Linked DNA regions of Astyanax mexicanus. The protein of the gene in region 1 interacts with the protein of each later gene in a pairwise test. Links are inferred from orthologs where the notes say so. Each region holds a gene or a part of one and is shown on either strand. Other genes may lie near its edges.

The links.
Region 2: the proteins of bag4 (region 1) and unkl interact in binary tests that used the Homo sapiens proteins (3 or more experiments, as listed by UniProt). The link is inferred for Astyanax mexicanus from reciprocal best matches to the Homo sapiens genes BAG4 and UNKL.

The regions. Positions count from the first base shown.
Region 1 is NC_064419.1:32,064,495-32,075,518, reverse strand, and holds the start of bag4 (BAG family molecular chaperone regulator 4), read right to left. Parts: upstream 4,391-11,024; 5' UTR 4,025-4,390; coding exon 3,890-4,024; intron 2,476-3,889; coding exon 2,350-2,475; intron 2,077-2,349; coding exon 1,882-2,076; intron 1,713-1,881; coding exon 1,446-1,712; intron 1-1,445. Other genes in the region: U6 snRNA-associated Sm-like protein LSm1, read left to right, coding at 5,355-5,400, 6,022-6,090, 6,576-6,691, 7,303-7,473; grk5l (G protein-coupled receptor kinase 5), read left to right, coding at 10,695-10,746. UniProt on the Homo sapiens protein: Inhibits the chaperone activity of HSP70/HSC70 by promoting substrate release. Prevents constitutive TNFRSF1A signaling. Negative regulator of PRKN translocation to damaged mitochondria.
Region 2 is NC_064410.1:59,945,673-59,956,012, forward strand, and holds the start of unkl (putative E3 ubiquitin-protein ligase UNKL), read left to right. Parts: upstream 1-5,596; 5' UTR 5,597-5,633; coding exon 5,634-5,698; intron 5,699-8,537; coding exon 8,538-8,747; intron 8,748-10,340. UniProt on the Homo sapiens protein: May participate in a protein complex showing an E3 ligase activity regulated by RAC1. Ubiquitination is directed towards itself and possibly other substrates, such as SMARCD2/BAF60b. Intrinsic E3 ligase activity has not been proven.

The DNA.
Region 1 (11,024 bases):
ACTTTTGTAAGTCAAATTGAGGGGGAAGTCTTAAAGAGTTTAGAGTGCCTATGTTTCAATAAAGGATCATTGATATTTGATGACACCTGTTTGAACTTTTTTGAAATGTATGGCAGGCCTGAAATGCAGGGATAGATGTATATTAACAAAGCAAACTGAGTTGAGCAAACAATACATGGAATCTCTTTGGTTAATATAGTTTGCAATTAAATAATTGTAAAAGTAAGAAACTCTCCATTTTAAGTTATTTTTGTGCATTTTCCTCCCTCACTGTATTAACTTTTACTGATTTGCAGTTGACTTTCTTTTAAGTATCAGAGTGTAAAGCTTTACAATAGGAGAGCTGAGTTCTATTACATAACCAGCTTTAGGACACTACAGTGTCACTGAGGGTCAGATGGACTGTGCTTTCTTTAAGCTGGAGTTCCTTTAAGCTATTCCTGTGTGTGTGCGCGTGTGTGTGTGTGAGAGAGAAACAGAAGGACTTGAAAGGCTTGAAAGACTGTGTACTGAACTCTCTGCTTGAGTACAGCACCTCATCTGACCTAAGATATCTTTGGCTAGCCCACACGTTTAGATGTGTAGAACATGTGTGTTGGAGTTTATGGTCTTGAGGAAAGCATGCAATTAGGCCTAACTGTGGTGATACACGTATTGAAGTGATGATTGTACCTTTATTTATGAATTGACTATATTTTTCTGACTTAAAACAGTTTTAAGTGACCACTGCTTGCACCTATATTTGGTAACCGAAGCAGTAACATGTTCAATAGTTATTTAACCCTGTTTAGCAAAGTTATACTCTTCCTCCTTTTAATGAAGATGATATTTCGAAACACAACATTCATCACTTTATCATTTCTAGAAACCCTCAGTCTGACCAAAAACAGAAAAATAGAAATAGAGGTGACAAATCATTTGTGTTTTATCCTTTCCCTGATTAAATAAAACAACATATCAATAAAACATATAACATCTGTAAAAAACTAAGGTAAACAACACAGTGCATGCAACAAGATTAAAATCTTTGTTCATCTTATTTCATACAGCAGTAAAAAAAATGGTAGCAACACCCTTGGAAGCAATCTGTGATGCCATAACTCCACCCTTCGAAACAACTACTGAGCATCACCTTAGCAACCACCTACTATACAAAACAACAAAACAGCTTTGAAACAAACTAGCCTAAAGATACTACTGTAAAGCAACAAGAATAGAAGCTAAACATAAAAATCATGGTTGCTCACAAAAAAGCACCAGAGACACAAACACACAAGTAAACATACATTCCAATACTACAGTTCCATTCTGTGGTTCAGAAAATTCACATTTGTGAGCCTGATTTTAGTCAGTTTGACACACAGACCAGAACTGAACCTAAACCCACTCTTTGCTGACCATCAATGCTATAAAATGACGAGTTAATGTACAGACAGCTTGGATACCTTATGTTCATATGGAGGTGGCGCAGGCCCCTGCCAGGGTGGAGGATGTGGAGGTCGGACGTGGTTAGCATGGTTAGCGTATGGCCCGTGAGCTGGCTGGGTGCCAGGCTGCCACTGCTGTTGAGGCTGTGTTGGCCCATATCCGCCTGAATGGGGCCAGGCTTCAGGCTGGGGCCTTGAGTGCATGGCCTGCTGGGTGGGATACCCAGGGTTGGAGGGGCATCCATCTCCATAGTGTGGGTACGAATTAGGGGGATATCCAGGACCCTGCAAGAACAGTGAACAAGAACAGAGGCTGTACTATTAAACCTTAAAAACGTATGTGTTTAGCTGGCCAGTCATATCAAAAGCTGTGACCTTTACTATACGATATAACGAATGATACCACTAAAAACATGAGCAAACATAAAAGGTTAAATAGTGGATCATCACCTACCCCTTGGCAATGCGGTACAGCATAGGGAGGCTGAGTAGAATTCCCCGCGGGCCGATCAGCGCAGCCCTGATTATGATACTGAGGTGGTTGCCGTGGAGGAATCTGCTCACTGCAGTAGAACGGATTGGATGGGTGCATCATATTGGCTGAGTACTGTCCTGGATTGTACACCCCATTGGGATAGCCTGACATTGCCTGAAATAAAGGCACAGCAGTTTGATTTTCATAAAAAGTATATATACCAAACACCTTTAATACTCTAATATAATTAGTATTACTCTAATACAATTAATCTACTATGAATCTGCAGTCTGTGTAATTTTAACAGTATGAAGGCAATAATTGTAGCATGATTTTATGTCAGTATTAATCAGTGCATTAGTCAGTGTATTTTTTTTTATCCAGTGTGAATCTGCAAAAAAACTTTAAGCACTGTGTTAAGACAAGAAGGAAGATGTGGTACTGTACCTGGGGATTGTACGGTGCTTGTCCATTGACCTCTGCTCCAGAGGGGTATGTGTTACTATACGGTCCAGCAGTATGCGAATGAGGGTACCAGTAGTTTGGTGGATAGCCACAATATGGATTAGAGTCCTGCCGTAAAGCAGAAATTACATGATGTTAGTCCTATAGTAGTTGTCACCACTATATTAGTGGTTCACCATATGGCTGAATTGAAGAAATAATACAAATTATTTTGTAACATTACTTTTACATTAACTGTACATATGTTTATCCTTCTCTAGCCCATATTATAAGCTGCCTCTTGTTTTCTCCTCAATGTTGGTACATCATTAAGGCTGATGCCACTACTTGCATGGCAATTTCCCATATTCTGCGAATTTTCCTTTGTTTGTTATGATGTTATTTTTGTTCCTGCTATCTCTTTTCCCTGTTTTTTGCTTTTAAACCCTGGCTATTATTCTTTCACAGCAGGATGATTCTGCATGACAGCATGGGACTGTTCAGCCTTTAAGGACTTATGGACACCACTTTCATCAGTACTAATATTTAGCATGTGTTCTGCAGTTACTCAGATTTTTATAATACATGACCTGTTTTTACAATAAGCACAAATTGAAATAATAAAGTACTATTTGACCACTCATTCTGCAGTCACTTTTGGACCCAGATCTCTGCAGAGCTGCTCTATGACAACATTTGCTGTAAAGAATTGAAATTTATTTTAAGTGTGACTGTTTTAATCAATTAAAAAACAACGAAGCCGACATAGTAAAGGTTTCTTTATGCTAACTGTATAGAAATAAAAATAGGTATCAGATCTGAAAGGCATTATTTCAGTACAGAACAGAAGCACTCAGGAAGCTTTGGTTCTCCAACACTGAAGATAAGGTGCACTTAGGTTACAACTTTACCAGTAGTGTAGGGATACATTTGGTAAATTCTGACAGTATTATATCGCTGCTATGCAGAAAATGGGATAATTTAGGATATCCAACTTTTATTAACAACCCAAACACACTAGCAAACCTAGCTATAGCTAACTGCTTGTATAAAGGCCACCTAATTTTACGCAATAAGTCCTGTTTCTCTAGATAACCAACTTGCTGACCAAAGCCAGCAATGGCCGGTCTGATAACTTATTCAACTAAACTACAAACTTAGGCAATAAAACGAACATCTCTCTGCAAAGTAAATCAGGGTTGTATATTTATGTGAGCTAGCTAACTACATAGAAAACACACTAGGTTAACATGTCAACGCTACTACAGTTTAAGTGAAGGTTAGTAACTGAAGTGCTGGCAATAGCTGGTAAGAGATGCTATGCTAAAGCTAATTGAATAGGACGGCACAGTTTGCTCAAAGTCAGCTGCGTAAACTTTTACACAAAGTGAATTAAAACCGTGTATTATTAAGATGCATTTGTATTAAATGTAAATAAAACGTTAAGCTGCTTCTGTATGAATGATACACTGGTGTCAAACACAGCTTAGCTTAGCGTAGTTTAGCTTAGCTTAGCTTAGCCTAGCCTAGCCCCGGTTCTTACCATCGCTCCGCTCCAGCTGCTCTCCGGGTTGTACCCGGGGCTCCAGCCCGCTTTCGGCTGCTGCATGTGCCGCTGCTGTTGCAGTAGCCACGCCGCCTCCCCGCTTCTCTCCGCTCCGGCTGAGTCGTAGGCCATCCACTGCTAACAGCACGTTATTGGTATTAATATGATTATTTTTATTATTACTAATTCATTAACCCATCATTCTCGCCATCGTGTCGGGTGTAGCTGCAGTGTGACTGAATCTGCGCGGTGCTGTAGCCTGACCTGAGCAATTAAATATTTATTTAAATCTTATAACGTATTCATATATATATTTTTTATGGCAAAAATTATTGTAAAAGCGCGTTACTGATATCCTTCTTTAGCTCTACAGTTCAATTAATTAAACATATTCACGCATAACAGCAAAGTGCTGCTGACTGTCACAGAAAAAAGCAAGCAGCCAATCACAAATAGGGACAGGAATATCTAGCCAATCACAATGTGCACAAAAACGAGCTAGCCAATCACAAGCTGGGTTACAATGTACGTTGCTTTATATGTATTTTAATCAATCGAATCGAAGCATTAAAAATATAATATAACTCTTTGCTTTTGAAAAAATTAATTGGATAAAATATTGTAAAATATATTTTCTGCATAAATAATACAAATCCCAAGGATAAATGACATACTTAAAATTATATATTTGTTATTCCGTGATATTTCGAGATATGTTTAGATGTTAAGATGTTTCTGTGCCTTGTCAGGGGTACAAAATGTATTTATAAATTTGAAATACAAAATATATTGATACTCTTTTTTTTTAGAGAGTTCTATATTATAAAGTAAACGATATCTTATTTTATGTATGATTATGATTTTGTAAAATCAAAATTAGTTTGTTTATTTTTTATCTGTAACTATAATTTCTGTCATAAGCTCTGATTCAACATTTAATTGTTAAAGTTACTGTATTTTGACAACCTTGTTCTTGAGACGGTAGCTTCCAAATCAGTTGGAGTGAAGCAAAATGTAAAATACAGCTAAAGGATTAAACAGAAATAGATCACAAACATAGTAAATGAACATAAATAAATAAATAAATAACAGTTACAAAGGAAATAACAGATAAAATCTCTAATAAATAAATACGTGGGAAGAAAGCACTACAAAATAAAAGCATAATAATTAAAATAATTATTAAGCTTATAGATAAATGATAAAAAAAAATGCATGGTGCGTTTAAATTAACATTACATATAAATAAAACTGCAAAAAAAATCTCAAAAACGAATATAAAACATATCTTTTGTAAAAAGATTTGTTTTATAAAATGCGAGTGGGCCCTTTAAAGGGGTGAGCGTGCCCCGGAAGCTGTGCTATAAGAGCGCTGCTGCTGTAGTTAGTTTGGGTGCCAGGAGGTTTGATATCACACTGTCTCTAGGTTTTTTGTGCTTTAAACTCCCCGCATGTCTGCAGGATGAATTACATGCCAGGCACCGCCAGCCTCATTGAGGACATCGACAGTAAGTTAAAAGCTCCGCTGGGCTTTACTACCCAGCCTAAAGCCGCTGGAACTCCAAATAGCTGCGTTGTAATTGGAATTGTTCGGTCCACCTTAAATGGTGCAGTGATTATATTCTGAGTCCAGCTAGCACAGTAATGTACCTGCTGCCCTATTTAAGGTGGAGTGGAAATTTAAAGCAATTAGCTATCTTAAACTTTCTTACTGCTAAAGATAATCTAAGTGTGTTTAATCTTGCGTTTCTGACCACGAACTGTGTACAATTTATACATATTGTATTTTTTTTCTCTACACCTCATTCCTCCCAAGATGAACCTGGAGGTGGTCTTCAGGGTTTGGGCCATTAGATAGCTAGCTAGATCGCTAACAACTACAACCACTTAAGTACTTGCAAATTAAACCTTTATAGACTTGCTAAAATGCTAAAAGTTAAATATAACACAGCTGGAGCTGGCGAACATTGAACTAGCTCTTTATGAATTCTTAGGATGACATAACAAATCCAAGGAAGGCTGTTTTGTGTGACTTATTTTGCCAGTTTTGTTGTTGCATGAAACTGTATAAATGTCTTTTAAGCAAATAAGCTTTCTGTCTGTCTGATCTGTTTTTGTTTTTCTTCCAGAAAAGCACCTTGTTCTGCTCAGAGATGGGAGAACACTGATTGGGATCCTCAGAAGTATAGATCAGTTTGGTAAGTAGATCCAGTGTTCAGTGAAGTAAAATAACAGATCCAAGTGAACCACTCAGTATGATCAGTATAATATATTTATATGTACACCAGTGTTTCCCACTGAACTGACACCCATTAAAATGAGCTTACTAAAGTTCCTCAGAGTTGGATTAAGAGGCGTTAGGTGTGCTTGGCAGTAGTTGGACATCGTTTAAGTTGTTCCATGCTTCACTTTTATTCGATGCCCTTTCACAATGAAGTGGTAACCTGCCTTTAGCATGGATGCACTGATCTATATTATATGGTACATCTATTTTAAAACTGCTTGAGGGTGCATAGAATATAAAGCCATGGTGCTAACTACCGAATAACAAATGATCTCACTGCATTAGCAGCACGGTCAGTATTTGAAGTTTATTTGCATCAGTATTGTTCTGCCCATCCTTGTCAGTTGTATGTTATTCATTAACAGGTTGTTAATATTTGATCTCTGTTCTCTTTAACAGCAAATTTAGTTTTGCATCAAACAGTGGAACGTATCCACGTTGGTAAGAAGTTTGGAGACATACCCCGAGGGATCTTTGTTGTCAGAGGAGAAAATGTTGTCTTACTTGGAGAAGTAGTAAGTTTACACAGTTTTTGTTTATTTTTCTTTCTGGAAATGTTTCCATTAAAATAAGATTAAGCAAAATGAGTCATGGTATTAAACATAAGCCTTGTTTGTTGTTGCTAGGATTGACAGGCTTTAGAGAATGCTGGGGAAATATCAGTCAACCTAATGAAGGGCTATAGTGTGAATAGTACCTTGGTGTGTAACACAGTACCTGCATTAAGGGCCAAATACCTGGCCAAGGATTAATTCTAGTCATGGACTCAATGGAAATTTAAAATGTAAAAGGTAAATAAGAGAAACTTGTTAATGTTAAATATTAACACCCTGCTGTGGGAAATTTGGGAATTATTTTGGTACCAGGGGTTGAGCTTACCTTTAACCTTTTAATACGGTGGACTGACCAAATCAGTGTGGCTGCATTGTGCGCACTTTTTTTTTTTTTTTTTTCCCCACAACTATGATCTGGGTGCAATAAACATGATGTAGAATAATACTATTTTATTGGACGGGTAAGGAGGAGAGCTGAGATGTGTTATGAATGAGGGGAATTTAAGAAGCATGTTTTATTGGAATTTAACCTACACTCTCCTGTTTGGATTTGTTTATTGTCTGCTCTGTAGGACCTAGATAAAGAATGTGATCAGATCCTTCAGAGAGTTTCCATTGAGGAAATTCTGGAGGAGCAGCGGGTGGAGCAGCAGGCAAAGCAGGAGTCTGAGAAGCGGAAACTACAGGCAGTAAAGGAGCGAGGCTTGTCCATCCCTAAAGCAGACACATTGGATGATTTCTGAGACGCCTTTAGGTTAATTTTTTTTGCTTGTTTTGTTTTCAGTTTTAGTGAGTATTACACACGTGACCTTCAATGAATGCATCACAGAAGACTGTGATCATGACCGTTTTTGTTTTTATGTAAGTCATGCTCTGCGTGACCATTACCATCTTTTCCTTTACGGCCGATGGTGCCGTATTGAAACTGAAGATGGACCAAACGGAAGCACTTGGCCTGCTGGCTTTTATTTTGAACTTTGTAGAGAAGAATAATGGAACCTTAAACTCAGTGTTTGTGTCGTTGAGGTGATGTTATGGTGGCGTTTATGTTGGTATGCTATGTTAAATCACGCTAAACAGCACTGAAGATATTTTTGTTCTATTAAACCTATTTTGTACTGAATAATATTGAGTGGTTTCCTTTGTGCGACAAATGATTTGTGAAATGCAGTCTGTTCTTGCCTGATTGCATTTTATTAACCACCTTTCCAGTTCTTTACTTACCTTAAGGGGAGCCAGTTTACATGAAAACAAAATATATAAAACTAACCTTTTCTATAATTGTATGATGTTGGGTTGAGAATATTTTAAGAGAAGCATTCAATTCCACACTTATGTTGTGACTTTTCAAGTACTTCTCCAGCGTTACTTGCTAGCTTGCAGTGTCTGTGTAATTCCCTCATTTGCCTTATGGTGTCGCCAAATACTGAAAACAAGTTATGTTTTAGAGAAATGTACCAAACTTAATCTTGTTCACAGTGGTGGTGAATGAAATCGTATCAAACTAGTTTACTGGCTTTAAATGCCCCATCACAAATACATTATGCAGATACACCTAAACAAAACCAAAACAGACTTTGGGACTGTTAAGGATACATAGTGATAAACAACACGGTCTTAAAATGTTCTCTGGAAGTGCTACCACCAGCATCTACTTGTGGTGTTCAGTAAAATGAAATACTGTGTTATGGCAGTGAAAGCAGCAACTTTCTACCTGAAGAGTTGTGTGTGTGATTTTTGTAGCACATGGTGTTTTAATTTTACAGAGGGCATGCAGGTTTTGGGGTCCCAAAGTCTGAGAGATTTTCTTTTAAAATAAGTAATGCTAAAGCTATTAAAATAAAAAGCTGTATCAGACCTAATAGTAAGGTGCAACATTTAGAACAGTGAAGGGGAGAACGTGGCAAACTAATAGCAAAGCTACTAGTGGTGCAAAAAATATATACTGTGAATTTAAAAACAAAATAAATGCTACCAGGCTGCTACAAACAAGAAAAAACAAGATGCAGCCTGTGCCAGTAAAGGAAACAGTGATGCTAAATATAAATTAACACTACTTGGCAGCTTGACTGTGTCAATAGTCCAAATTTAAATTGACACATAGCTAAACACATTCTTACATTATAATCTCTCAATTTTAATATAACAAATTGCTCTGTTTATTTTATTTGGCTACAATAAATTATTTGGCTACAATTAAATATATTTTACGTTTCTATTTAAAATATTAAAAGCAACTGTTTTAAACAATTACTTTCTATTGTGGTGTTTATTAATTCAGTGTTGTAGTACTCAACATTTCTTAACCATTTCAGGCCCTGCATCCATTACAACAGACATCATGTATTTTCTTTATTTCTAAATGTTTTGTTGCACACACAACTATTTGAGAGCTGTTGTTCATTAGAATAGACCATGAACCAGCCAATGAACAAGTTTATAAACCAATGAAACAGTAACTTGGCCCCGCCCACTGCACTGGAAAAAAAATGTAAAACTAGAGCCATTGAGGCAAAGTAACAGTTAAGTTTTTCTTTAATTACGCTATTTTTTATTTTTTTAAACTTTTTTTTTACTGTTTAGGAGTGGTTTATTACATACAAGGTCAATATGAAACAAAATATTAACAAAGGCCTACAATGCAATGGAAATAAAAAATAAACTGATTAAATATTTTAGTTCACTGGATTTATTTGCTGTATAAATTTCATAGTAAAATTTTAGAGTCTTCTTTTCTGTGCATTACAGACAGAAATAGCATTCTTACATTTCTTTCCACCACTGGAGCCAATTTAGGTCTGAACGGGTTAACAGGCCGTTCAGTTAAATCGAACTACAAATTCTGTCTCGTGATGGCGTCATGCACGCCCATCCCACCAATCCGCAACGACATGTACGCTGGGGTTTGTAGTTTTTTACATTTCAATCTGTCCCGTTAAAACGGCATTGTAAAACGTCTTGGTATCGTACTGTTATCGTAGCTTAAGCGCGTCCAATGTTGTTAAACGACGGCATGGCAAAAACACGAGCTTATATCGACATTAAAACGTGATACAAAATGTCCCTATGGCGGAACAGTTGAAGTTGTTAAAGGTAACCAGCAGGGGGTGCAGTTCTGCGCTTCGCTTTTTATTATTATTATTATTCCCTCCTCCCCATAGCGGGACTGAATGCGGAGAACATGGCAACCGCTCCACATGCCCTAACCCCGCTGTAGGCCCACACACACACACACACACACACACACACACATTCACACTCACTTACACACACACCGACGGCTGGCAGCTTTCATTCGTATGTTCGGACTGGTGTGTGCCACTTTATTATTCGCTCGGGGAGCCGCGGGGAATGCTGCATGTGAGAAGCGGAGCGAGTGAGCCGCGCGTTGGTGAGGCACCGCCGGGAGAGGGAGCACGCCTGCAGCCGGGGGGCAGCGTTCCGAGGCCGGTCAGCCAGGCTGGGATCCACCGCGGGGGCCGGAGCTAGCTTTCTAGCTATTTTCCTCCTTCTTCTTCTTCATCATCATCATCCTCCTCTTTTTTTCTTCCTCCCTGGCATGCATCATCATCATCATCATCATCACCCTCCTCATCACCAGGAGAGGATGTAAAGCTCATCCTTGTTGCTTCCTCTTCCACGCACAACAAAACCTACAGCACATTTCTCCCCCGTTTTAATGGGACTTTTAGTATTATTTTAATTATTTATTATTATATTTTTTTCTTTTTTTGCATTTGGGCAATGCCACCCCTACGCGTTTTGTGCGGCGAACTACACGGACAGAGCGTGATCGCAGGTGTAAACGTGTAAATGTAAAATGCACGGCCTTTAAATCGCCCTGTTTTATGTGAAACGGGAAAATAGCAGGATAAAGGAGGGCTGGGAGGAGCGAGGAGCTCTTGTCGACTTTTTTGCCCCTTTTTTGCGCCTTCCCAAAGGCAAATATCGGAGTGGATTTTTAATGGAGCTGGAGAATATCGTTGCAAACACGGTACTCCTGAAAGCTAGAGAGGGTAAGTGATGCTCGTTTTGTGCTCAAATCCCCCCTTTTTTCCTTTATTTCTCCTCTATTTCACCATAAGAATCGAGCTGCACCTCGTATGATGATGTAATGTGACTTCTGTAAAACACTGATTAGCAGATGCAGTGTGCTGCTTTAAGATACGAGCTTTAAGTTAGCTAATTTTTTTCGAATTTTCCGTTCCACCTTAAATGGTGCAGCAGTTCCATTCTGTTACGAGCGGGCAACTGAGGCACCAGAACGTAACTGCTGCACCATTTAAGGTGGAAT
Region 2 (10,340 bases), on another chromosome or scaffold:
CGTTTAAAATGCATCTAAAATCCCAAACGTGCAAATTTAAACATTCTCAGCTTCATGTTGTCAGACAGGTTCTATTATCAAAGTGATTTGATGATTCTACAGGTCTGTCAGTAATCAGGTCTGGTTGTGGTTAGTAGTGAAATTGAACTCAGTTTTCCAAAAAGTGTGATTAATCACAGTCACTTTAATAGGCATTGGATTGTTTTTGCCCTTTATTAAATTAAATCATCATTTAAAAAGTGCTTTTTATATTTACTCAGGTTATATTTGACTGATATTAAAGTTTGTTTGATAATCAGAAAATGTAATTATGCAAAAAGAAAAGAAATTTGGAAGGGGCTAAACACAGCACTTTTTTACAGCACTGTAGATTCCATGGCACTTTAGGTGGTTTCCGGTTAAGAGTGTGCTGTGTGCAATTGGCTGCTGTTTCTTGTCATGGTTTGATGGTTGACTGCTGAGTGTAAATTACTGTGTAGATGTCTGTGTTGCAAAGCAGTGATTAGGTGTTTAGAAAGACGCTACAAAAGTGGGACTTCATCGTCATCTATAAACATCAGTGTGCAGCAATTACAGTTTGCAGTGTTAACTCTGCAACGACTTCCAGAGTTTTGTTAAAGCACAGTGTGACTTGTTAACCCTTGTGTGGTGTTCGGGTCTGTGGGTCCCGTTTTCATTTTTCATCAAATGATACTAAAAAAATATTTTTTCTAACTCAAACTCATTGGCATTGTCTAATTTTTGGTGAAAAACATATATCAAAACACATTTTCCATAAACACACACTGTACACCCCCCCCCCCCCACACACACATTTATATTACATACAGTATGTTTGGCCAAGGGCTAATAAACTTTGCTTCATTTGTAAATTTGAAACTAAACAAATTTTCTACTCATATCTTGAGTTTAATTCATGTTCTTTTACATTTTATTAAAAAACTAATAAAAAAAGAGTAGCACTTTTTAAAAGAAATGTAACATAAGAAAGGTAAAGGGCAAATATTAACCATGTAAGCTGTTTATATTGCTTGCAATTTAGGTGAAGCGAGCATGTGTAAAGCATTTTAATGTAGAATTGCTTAATTTTGCTGAATTAAATACAAGAAACAAAGTAAACGAGTAACAAAAATATGAACACCACACAAGGGTTAAAGTGAGACAATAATAAAGTAATGTAACCCTTGCTACTAACACTGTAAAGAGAAAAAATGAGAAACTGTAAACTTTAATCACCCCCATCACTATTGCACTATTGTCTTCTGTCTCACGTATGTCTATCTGTGTCCCTGTTGTATTGTGCATATAGTGTCCTCCATTCTTTTTATATTTATAATCTTATTTTCTGTACTTCTGTACTAATTTTTGGGAAGGGGGGTAACGTAATTGTAATTCTCTGTATGTCCTGTACATATGCAGTTTTGACAATAAAACTATTTGACTTGACTTGACAGAGATTAGAGTCAGATTTATATTGAGAGGTGGTTAACTGTATGAGCTATCTAAGAAATAAATTGATTACAGAGAGAAAGAGAGAAATATAAAGTCCCTTCCCAGAACTATTAGAACAGTGAGGCCAATCCCTTTATTTCTGCTGTGGACTGAAAACATTTGAATTTGACATTAAAAGATGGATATAAGACAAGAGATCAACATTTCAGTTTTTATTCTAGTAGGATAGCACCTTAATAAACAGCCAGGAACAAAAAAAGTACACAGTTTCACTTGGTCTACCTGTTTGGTATCTGTTATTTAGTACACCAGTGATGACTTTCTTCTTCAAGTCATTCCAAACAGTTGTTACAAGCCATGGCCAATAAAGATAAAAACTAAAAGGTTTTTTTTTTGTTAATCTTTTTTAATGTCAAATTGAAATATTTTCAGTCTACAGCAGAAATAATTAAATTAACCTCACTGTTCCAATACTTTGGAAGGGACTATAAATGTAAAGTTCATTAAAAATTGTGGATGAAAAAATATCCAAAGCAAACATATTGTTTGGAAAAATCTGTAGAAATGGCAGAAATCAGAAGCTCTGGGAATGAAATTTCATATCATTATCTACACATTGTATTTTACTAGTAAAAAGGTCCAAATTGAGACGTACAACTCCAACAATTTCAGATATTTACACAATTTTGCATTTCATGGCAGCTGTTATGCTATTTTTTAATCTGATGTTACTAAAAATATTTGTGTTTAAAATTGTGTGTTCAATTCCATCAGCAGCACACCTAATTTACCCTCATTAAGCTCTGTTTTACCAAACCAGCTGCTGATATGATCTGAACTATAGACAATACTTGACTCCATTATGGGATTTATTTTAATGAAGTGTAAAATCAATACTTTTTGTTCATTGTATTTGTATTTTTTAATATTACTGTTTATCTAAGTAAATTAACACTTACTACCCAGATTCATTATAATTTTGATTAATTAAATTCTCTGATTTTGCTATTTATAGGTTTATGTTTGAGTAAAATGAACATTGTTGTTTTATTCTATAAACTACAGACAACAGACAACAAATATTTAAGTCATTTAGAGCATTTATTTGCAGAGCTTTCAGACCTCAAATAATGCAAAGAAAACAAGTTCATATTCATAAAGTTTTAAGAGTTCAGAAATCAATATTTAGTGGAATAACCCTGGTGCTTTTTAATCACAGTTTTTGTTTTTATGCATCTTGGCATCATGTTCTCCTCCACCAGTCTTACACACTGCTTTTGGATACTTTTATGCTGCTTTACTCCTGGTGCAAAAATTCAAGCAGTTCAGTTTGGTGGTTTGATGGCTTGTGATCATCCATCTTCCTCTTGATTATATTCCAGAGGTTTTTAATTTGGTAAATCAAAGAAACTCATCATTTTTAAGTGCTCTCTTATTTTTGTTCTGAGCTGTGTTAATCAAGTGTTTTTAAGCAATTTACAGAACTTTGGCTGGAATGTTGGATTTCAATAGGGCTGTTCAGTAGATAGTCCATTTACTTTTTTTTAAACAGTGCACACACATTCACACGTGTTTTGCATATTGATTGCTGTTCTACTCTTATTTTCTTACACCTACTTGAGGCAAATAGGGGCATTATTATCACATTATCATTTTGATAGGTTTGCAATACACATGCATTGAAATACAAATGAGGGAAAGCAAAAACACAAACCCCGAAGATCGGAATACATGATAGTTTGGACAAACCTCTTCTCATTCAATGTGTTTTCTTTCTTTTTATGATTTTTTACATTGTAAATTTAATATTAAAGACTATATTAAAACTCTACAGGAACACATGCTGAATTATTTTCAATAATAAACCAGAAAATGTTTTATATTTTAGATTCTTCTAACATTATTCTTTGAGGACAGATCTGCAGACTCTTGGTGAGATTTTAATCTCAGTGTCTTCATGATTTAGAGTCACCTGGAATAGTTTTCTCAGCGTCTTGAAGGAAGGAGTTTCTGGAGGTGCTGAACAATAGTTGCTGCTTTTCCTTCATGCTGTGAAGCTCCAGCTCATCCCAATTAATCATCTCAAATCACCATCTCAGTTCATCAGGTTTAGATCAGGGGATTAATGTGGTGGAATAACACTTTTTTACTGTTTACTACATAATACCATATATGTCCCTTAATGTAGAAAATAAATAAAGTGAATAAACAAATAAAGAAGGTGTGTCCATATTATTGCCGTTATTCACCTGTCAGACATTTAATTCTTCTCTTCCCTGCTAACACTCAGACTTAGTCCAATCATGTTAATCTAAGCTAAAGGCTAAAGCTGTTTCCATGTGGGTCAGCCAGACGTCTTCCTGTAGCAGTTACAAACAAAAAGCTTTTATTACTACTAGAAGAAGCAAAAAGTAGAGTGTTAACAATAAACTGACTATAAAGAAATTTATACCCACCACTACCAGTCTGATTACTGAACATCTGATCTCAGAAACACTACAACAGTAAAACATGAACATGGTGTTAAATTAAAAAGCAGTAACTGCAAATAGAAGTAAAACACCTTTTCATTCCCCCATCCAATCGATTTATGAAATTGTATGGTAATTATGTTGATTCAACGTTAAAACATTGTTATATCAACATAATGTTGAAACATTGAAACAATAACAGACACATATATACCACAGGTAATTATGTGTAAATATATATTTACTAATATATGTATATATATATATATATATATATATATATATATATATATATATATATACATATATTAGTAAATATATATTTACACATAATTACCTGTGGTATATATGTGTCTGTTATTGTTTCATATATATATATATATATATATATATATATATATATATATATATATATACATGTATTAGTAAAAATGTTTCCTTCAGTTTTAGCTCATTGTTTTCCCTAAAAGCCCAGTTTAGTGACAAATGTTGTACACTGTATTTTGTACCATTTCATAACTGTACCTAATGAGCTTAAATGACAAAAAATAGGGAAATATATGTATATATGTAATGTGTATTTGCATATATGTATATACACACTACTGGTCAAGAGGTTTACAACTTCCACATTTTTTCCATTTTTATTTGTGTGTGGCTGGTTGCCTACTGTCAGCAATTAATAGGAGGTTTGTCGTTTATTGTTACATTACTCCATGTTTGTAACATCAATCTACAATGTGGAGAATATATTAATAAATTAAACAAAGACATAAAAATGACTTGGGGAAAAATAATGTGGCTTTTTTACTAAAGAAAAACATACTTTTGCTATGTGGGTATATAAATGGGTATATAAATATCCTTGAAAAGCTGCTTTATTTCAGTAATTCAGTTCAAAATGTAAAACTCGTATATTATATAGATGTATTACACACACAGAGTGATCTATTTTAAGCAGTTATTTGTTTTATTGTTGATGATGATGGCTTACAGCCAATGAAAATGCAAAAATCAGTGTCTAAGAAATTTGAATATTATATAAGACCAATTAGGGAGTGGGAGTGTGCCAAGTCCTGCTGGAAAAGAAAATCTCCTAATCTCTGCATCTCCATAAAAGTTGTCACTGCACTGACTTGGGACGAACTTGATAATAAAACACGGTGGACCAACACCAGCTGATGACATGGCTTTCCAAACCATCACTGACTGTGGAAACTTGTGGAAAACTGCCTCTCCTCTCTTCCTCCAGACTCTGCTCCCTTGATTTTTTCCAAATTAAATTCCAGTAAAATTTACTGATGATCAGTGATGGTTTGGAGAGACATGTCATCTGCTGGTGTTGATCCACTGTGTTTTATTATCAAGTCTAAAGTCAGTGCAGTTTTGTTTTCCCACAAAATCTTACAGCACTTCATGCTTCCCTCTGCTACTGACATGGAGATGCGAATTTCGTTTTCCAGCAGGACTTGGCACACTGGTCATGTTACGTAAATATTCACATTTTGAATTAAATTAGTGAAATAAAGTAACTTTTGAATGATGTTCAACTTTTTTGAGATGCACTAGTATAAGTGAGTGTGTATAAGTGTTAGTGCTCCACGCTGCTGCTGGTGTTTATTCGTGAGTCCCGCCACTTGCTGATATTGGCCAGTCAGCGGCGCGCGAGAGCGGGCCTGTGCGCATGCGCGTTTATTGTTTTGACTGAAAATGCCGTCGGTTTCGAAAACGGCGGCGAGCGCTTCTCCACAAACCGAGAAACCGACCCACTATACGTGAGTACCGCGGGGCTGCCTGGGCGGGAATGGGGTTCCGGGGCCGGGGGGCTTGTGCAGATCCCCCGGCCGTGCGGAGGGGCTGTGAGCGCGGGGTTTATCCGCTCCTCAGCGCTGTTAAACATGGGGCTTTAGGAGATTCCTCCAGTACACGCAGCTCCGCCGCGGGGAGGGAAAACAGCGCGCCGTGTTATTAAACACGGGCTCTCCGCCTTTAACCGCGGGTTTATCTGCTGATTTAAAGCCTGAAACGCGCTGCGAGCTGCGGGTTAAAGCCTGAGCCTGGCCGCGGAGACCCGGGCTCACTGTTCAGGCTGCAGAAGACACGCAGAGACACAGAGCGCCAGGCGGCAGCCAGCCCTCCTTCCTCCGCCTCGGCCTGAATAGCTGCCACTACGCTGCTTGCGTAGCGTAGCGCCCGGTTGGCTGAGTAGGGTAGGCGTCGGAGATCGTGCGTAAGTGCTGTCGGTAATCGCGGCGCTTGGCGTAAGCTGGAGCTACAGTTTGTTTTGTTATTCAGCTGCTCGTGTTGAGTTGTTTGGAGAGCGTGGGCTATTCTGAGTTAATTTTGCTACTTAAATCCAGTTAAATGAGTTAAACGAGTTAACTGCTCGCTGTTTATGAGTTTTATAAGTTGTTTAGCCATAACTAACATGTTTCTGCATATTATGAAGGATTGTGGTCGTGATTTTGTTATTCAGCTGCTTGTGTTGTTGTTCAAATAGTTTGGACAGGTCTGAGTTTATGTCTCTAGTTAAATGAGTTAAACGAGTTAACTAGTTGCTGTTTTTAAGTTGTTTTAGTTGTGTGAGTTGTGAGTTATTTCTGCACCTTTGAAGGGGTTTCAACCAGCGTGCGTTTGTTTTGTTATTCAGCTGCTTATAGACTCGACGAGTTTGAGTTATGCATCTAGTTAAATGAGTTAAAAGACTTAACTGTTCGATATTTATTAGTTGTTTGAGTTGATAATGACCATAACAAACCTACTTCTGCATATTTTTTTTTTAACCAACGTGCGTTTGTTTGGTTGTTCAGGTGCTCATAGTCTGGGATTGTTTGAGTTTATGCATGTAATTAAGTGAGTTAAATGAGTTAACTGGTCGCTGTAAATGAGTTGTATGAGTTGTTAATTGCCATACCTGACCTATTCCTGCACATTTGGAAGGATTTTGAACCAGTGTTCGTTTGTTTTGTTTTTCAGCTATTCATAGTCTGGACTAGTTTGAGTTATGCATCTAGTTAAATGAGTTAAAAGACTTAACTGTTCGATATTTATTAGTTGTTTGAGTTGATAATGACCATAACAAACCTACTTCTGCATATTTTTTTTTTAACCAACGTGCGTTTGTTTGGTTGTTCAGGTGCTCATAGTCTGGGATTGTTTGAGTTTATGCATGTAATTAAGTGAGTTAAATGAGTTAACTGGTCGCTGTAAATGAGTTGTATGAGTTGTTAATTGCCATACCTGACCTATTCCTGCACATTTGGAAGGATTTTGAACCAGTGTTCGTTTGTTTTGTTTTTCAGCTATTCATAGTCTGGACTAGTTTGAGTTTATGCATCTAGTTAAATTAGTTAAACTAGTTAACTAATTGCTGTTTGAGTTTTATTATTTGTGTATGGCCATAACTAACTTAACCTATTTCTGATCCAGATTTTGTTATTCAGCTGCTAGTTAAACGAGGTAACTTGTCCTGTTTGAGTTATTTATTGCCATAACTGACCTATTTCTGCATATTGGATAGAGTTTTAAGCCAGCATGCGTTTGTTCAGCTGCTCATAGTCTAGACTAGTTTGAGTTATGTATCCATAACCTACCTATTTTTGCATATTCTAAAGGATATTGATCCAGATTTTGTTATTCACATGCTTATGTTGAGTTGTTTGAATAGTCTGGATTAGACTGAGTTTATGTCTCTAGTTAAACGAGTTAACTAGTTGTTGTGTGTGAGTTTTTTAATTTATTTCCATAACTAACCTATTTCTGCACATTTTAAAGCGTTTTAAATCAGTGTGCATTTGTTTTGGTATTTATCTGCTCATAGTCTGGACTAGTTTGAGGTTAGGCATCTAGTTAAATGAGTTAAACGAGTCAAGAAGCCACTATTTTTGAGTTAAAGGAGTTTTGCATGGCCATAATAACCTATGTCTACATACTTGGAAAGATTGTGATTTTGATACCAGTGTCCAGGTTTAAATGTTGTTTTCTATTCAGCTGCTCATGTTAGTTAAATAGTCTGGACTAGTTTGAGTTTGTGTATCCAGTTAAACGAGTTAAAAAAGTGAACTAGTCACTGTTTCAGTTTGTGAATTTTACGAGTTGCATATAAATAAATATAAATAAATAAATAAATGGATAATTAGCTGGGTAGCTAAATAAGTAAACAAATGGATAAGTAATTCACTAGGTGTCTAAATAACTAAATAAATAACTAAATAAAACAAATAAGTAAGTAGATAGATAATTTGCTACTTATCTAGCTACTTCTTTATTTATTTATTTAGCTAGCTAAATAAATAAATAAAGAAGTAGCTAGATAAGTAGCTAGCTAGCTGAATGAAAATAAAATATGGATAATTAGCTGGCCAAGTATTATTAGCTAGCTAAATAAATGGACCATTAGCTAGCCTAATAAATAGATGGAATATTAGCTAGCTAAATAAATAAATAGATAGATAATCATCTAGATAGCTTAATAAATAAAACAATTTATATTTAGCTTACTAGCTAAATAAAAATAAATGGATAAGTAGATAAATAAATTATCTAGCTACTGTATATCAATACATGTTTTGATGTTGTGTAGTTTAACCCTCTGACTGTTTCCTCTATTGGCAGATATTTGAAGGAATTCAGGACCGAGCAGTGCCCGCTGTTTCTGCAGCACAAATGCACGCAGCATAGACCCTTTACCTGCTTTCACTGGCATTTCCTCAACCAGCGGAGACGGAGACCCATCAGGAGGCGAGATGGGACGTTCAACTACAGCCCGGACGTGTACTGCACCAAATACGATGAAACCACGGGCATATGTCCTGATGGAGACGAGTGAGTCACTTTAAATCGCTTTATTATTATTATTATTGTTCTAGCTACTTTATATACAGAGATACCTGTATATAGACTGTGTCAGTTAAATACTCAGTCAGCAGTGATGCTGACTGGCCACCAATTGAGAGTTTATCTATGCACAGTCAGTGAGGTACCACATAACTATCTACTCATATGAGTATTGGTGCACTTGTTGCACACATGTATGCATGCATTCATACATATGCGCAACAAGTGCACCAATACTAATACAGTAGCTAGTTTCGTGGTACAATGTGCATGCAGAAATTGGTTTGTACATATGTGCACTTGTTGCACATATGTATGAATGCATGCACATTTTTGTGCACTTCAAATGTTTTAAGCTATGCATGTGCAAGATGTGCCAATATCTTTAGCTTTTTCATTATTTAAAATATTCCCTGCACCAACAAAGTGCATCCGTACTATAAGTAATGTAAAAAAAAAAGAATTCAACGTTGAGCTGTTACCATCTTTTGTAGACTGGAAATGTTTTAAAGCCGCAGTTGCACGCGTAATGCAAGTAAAATTAGATTTGCTTGCTGGATTTTTTTTAAAGCTGTGCATGCACCTGTGGTATTTTATTTTATTTTTAAATCTTTGCCTTTTAGTCGTTCAAATAATTCCGAACCAACAAAAGAGCATCATTTCTGTAACTCATGCGAACATAGCACTGGCAACACATCCTTATATTTTGCAAATCTGCAGGTTTTATATGCACACATGCAGGGAATTTATTATTTATTTATTTAATTTTTTTTTTTTTGTCACTTAAAAAGATTCTTGCACAAACTGATGCAAAAAAGTGTACTGGAAATGTTATAAAGCCATAATAAAGTACCAACAAAGCGACAAATTCTTTAACTAAAGCTAAATATTAATATATTAAAAGCATGCAATGAAAATCAATCAATCAACCTTTATTTTCACTCATAATACATTAAGGGAGACTGAGCAGTGCAGTTTAGCATTTACAGTATAAAAGGGATTAAAACATTAGATAAGAAATTAGAAATATAAAAAATATATACAAAAAACAGAAAATCGAAATAAAATGACCATAAAAAATGAACACACAAAAGGTAAATTTATAAACTTAAAAACGAGAAAAATTAATAATAGTAAAAGTTGATGTTAAAGTGATAAGGGTGATAAGAAATGATAAAAGGAATAATAATAAATATAGTATATCATAAGTATAAAAAAGTAAGAACAATAAACTAAAATAAAAAGAGAAAGGATAAACTTACTTAAAACAGTCACAGGCTTTCTGATGGTGATTAGAAACTAAAAGTTTTTAAATGCTTTAAAGCCATGCATGCACACCATACATCCTTTATTCTTTTTAAATCTGTAAGTTTCACCTTTTTTTAAAAACTATTTTTCACTATTTAAAAAAAAAAAGATTTATACTGGAAACATTTTAGTGCTGTTCATGCACATGTGCACATAATTTGTGCACTGGAAATATGTGAAAATCATGCAATATTTAGTAATTGTGTGTTATTCAGAGTTTTTGAGCTCTGCAACTATTGCAAAACTGTCGGATATGCGTGCACGGCTTTAAAC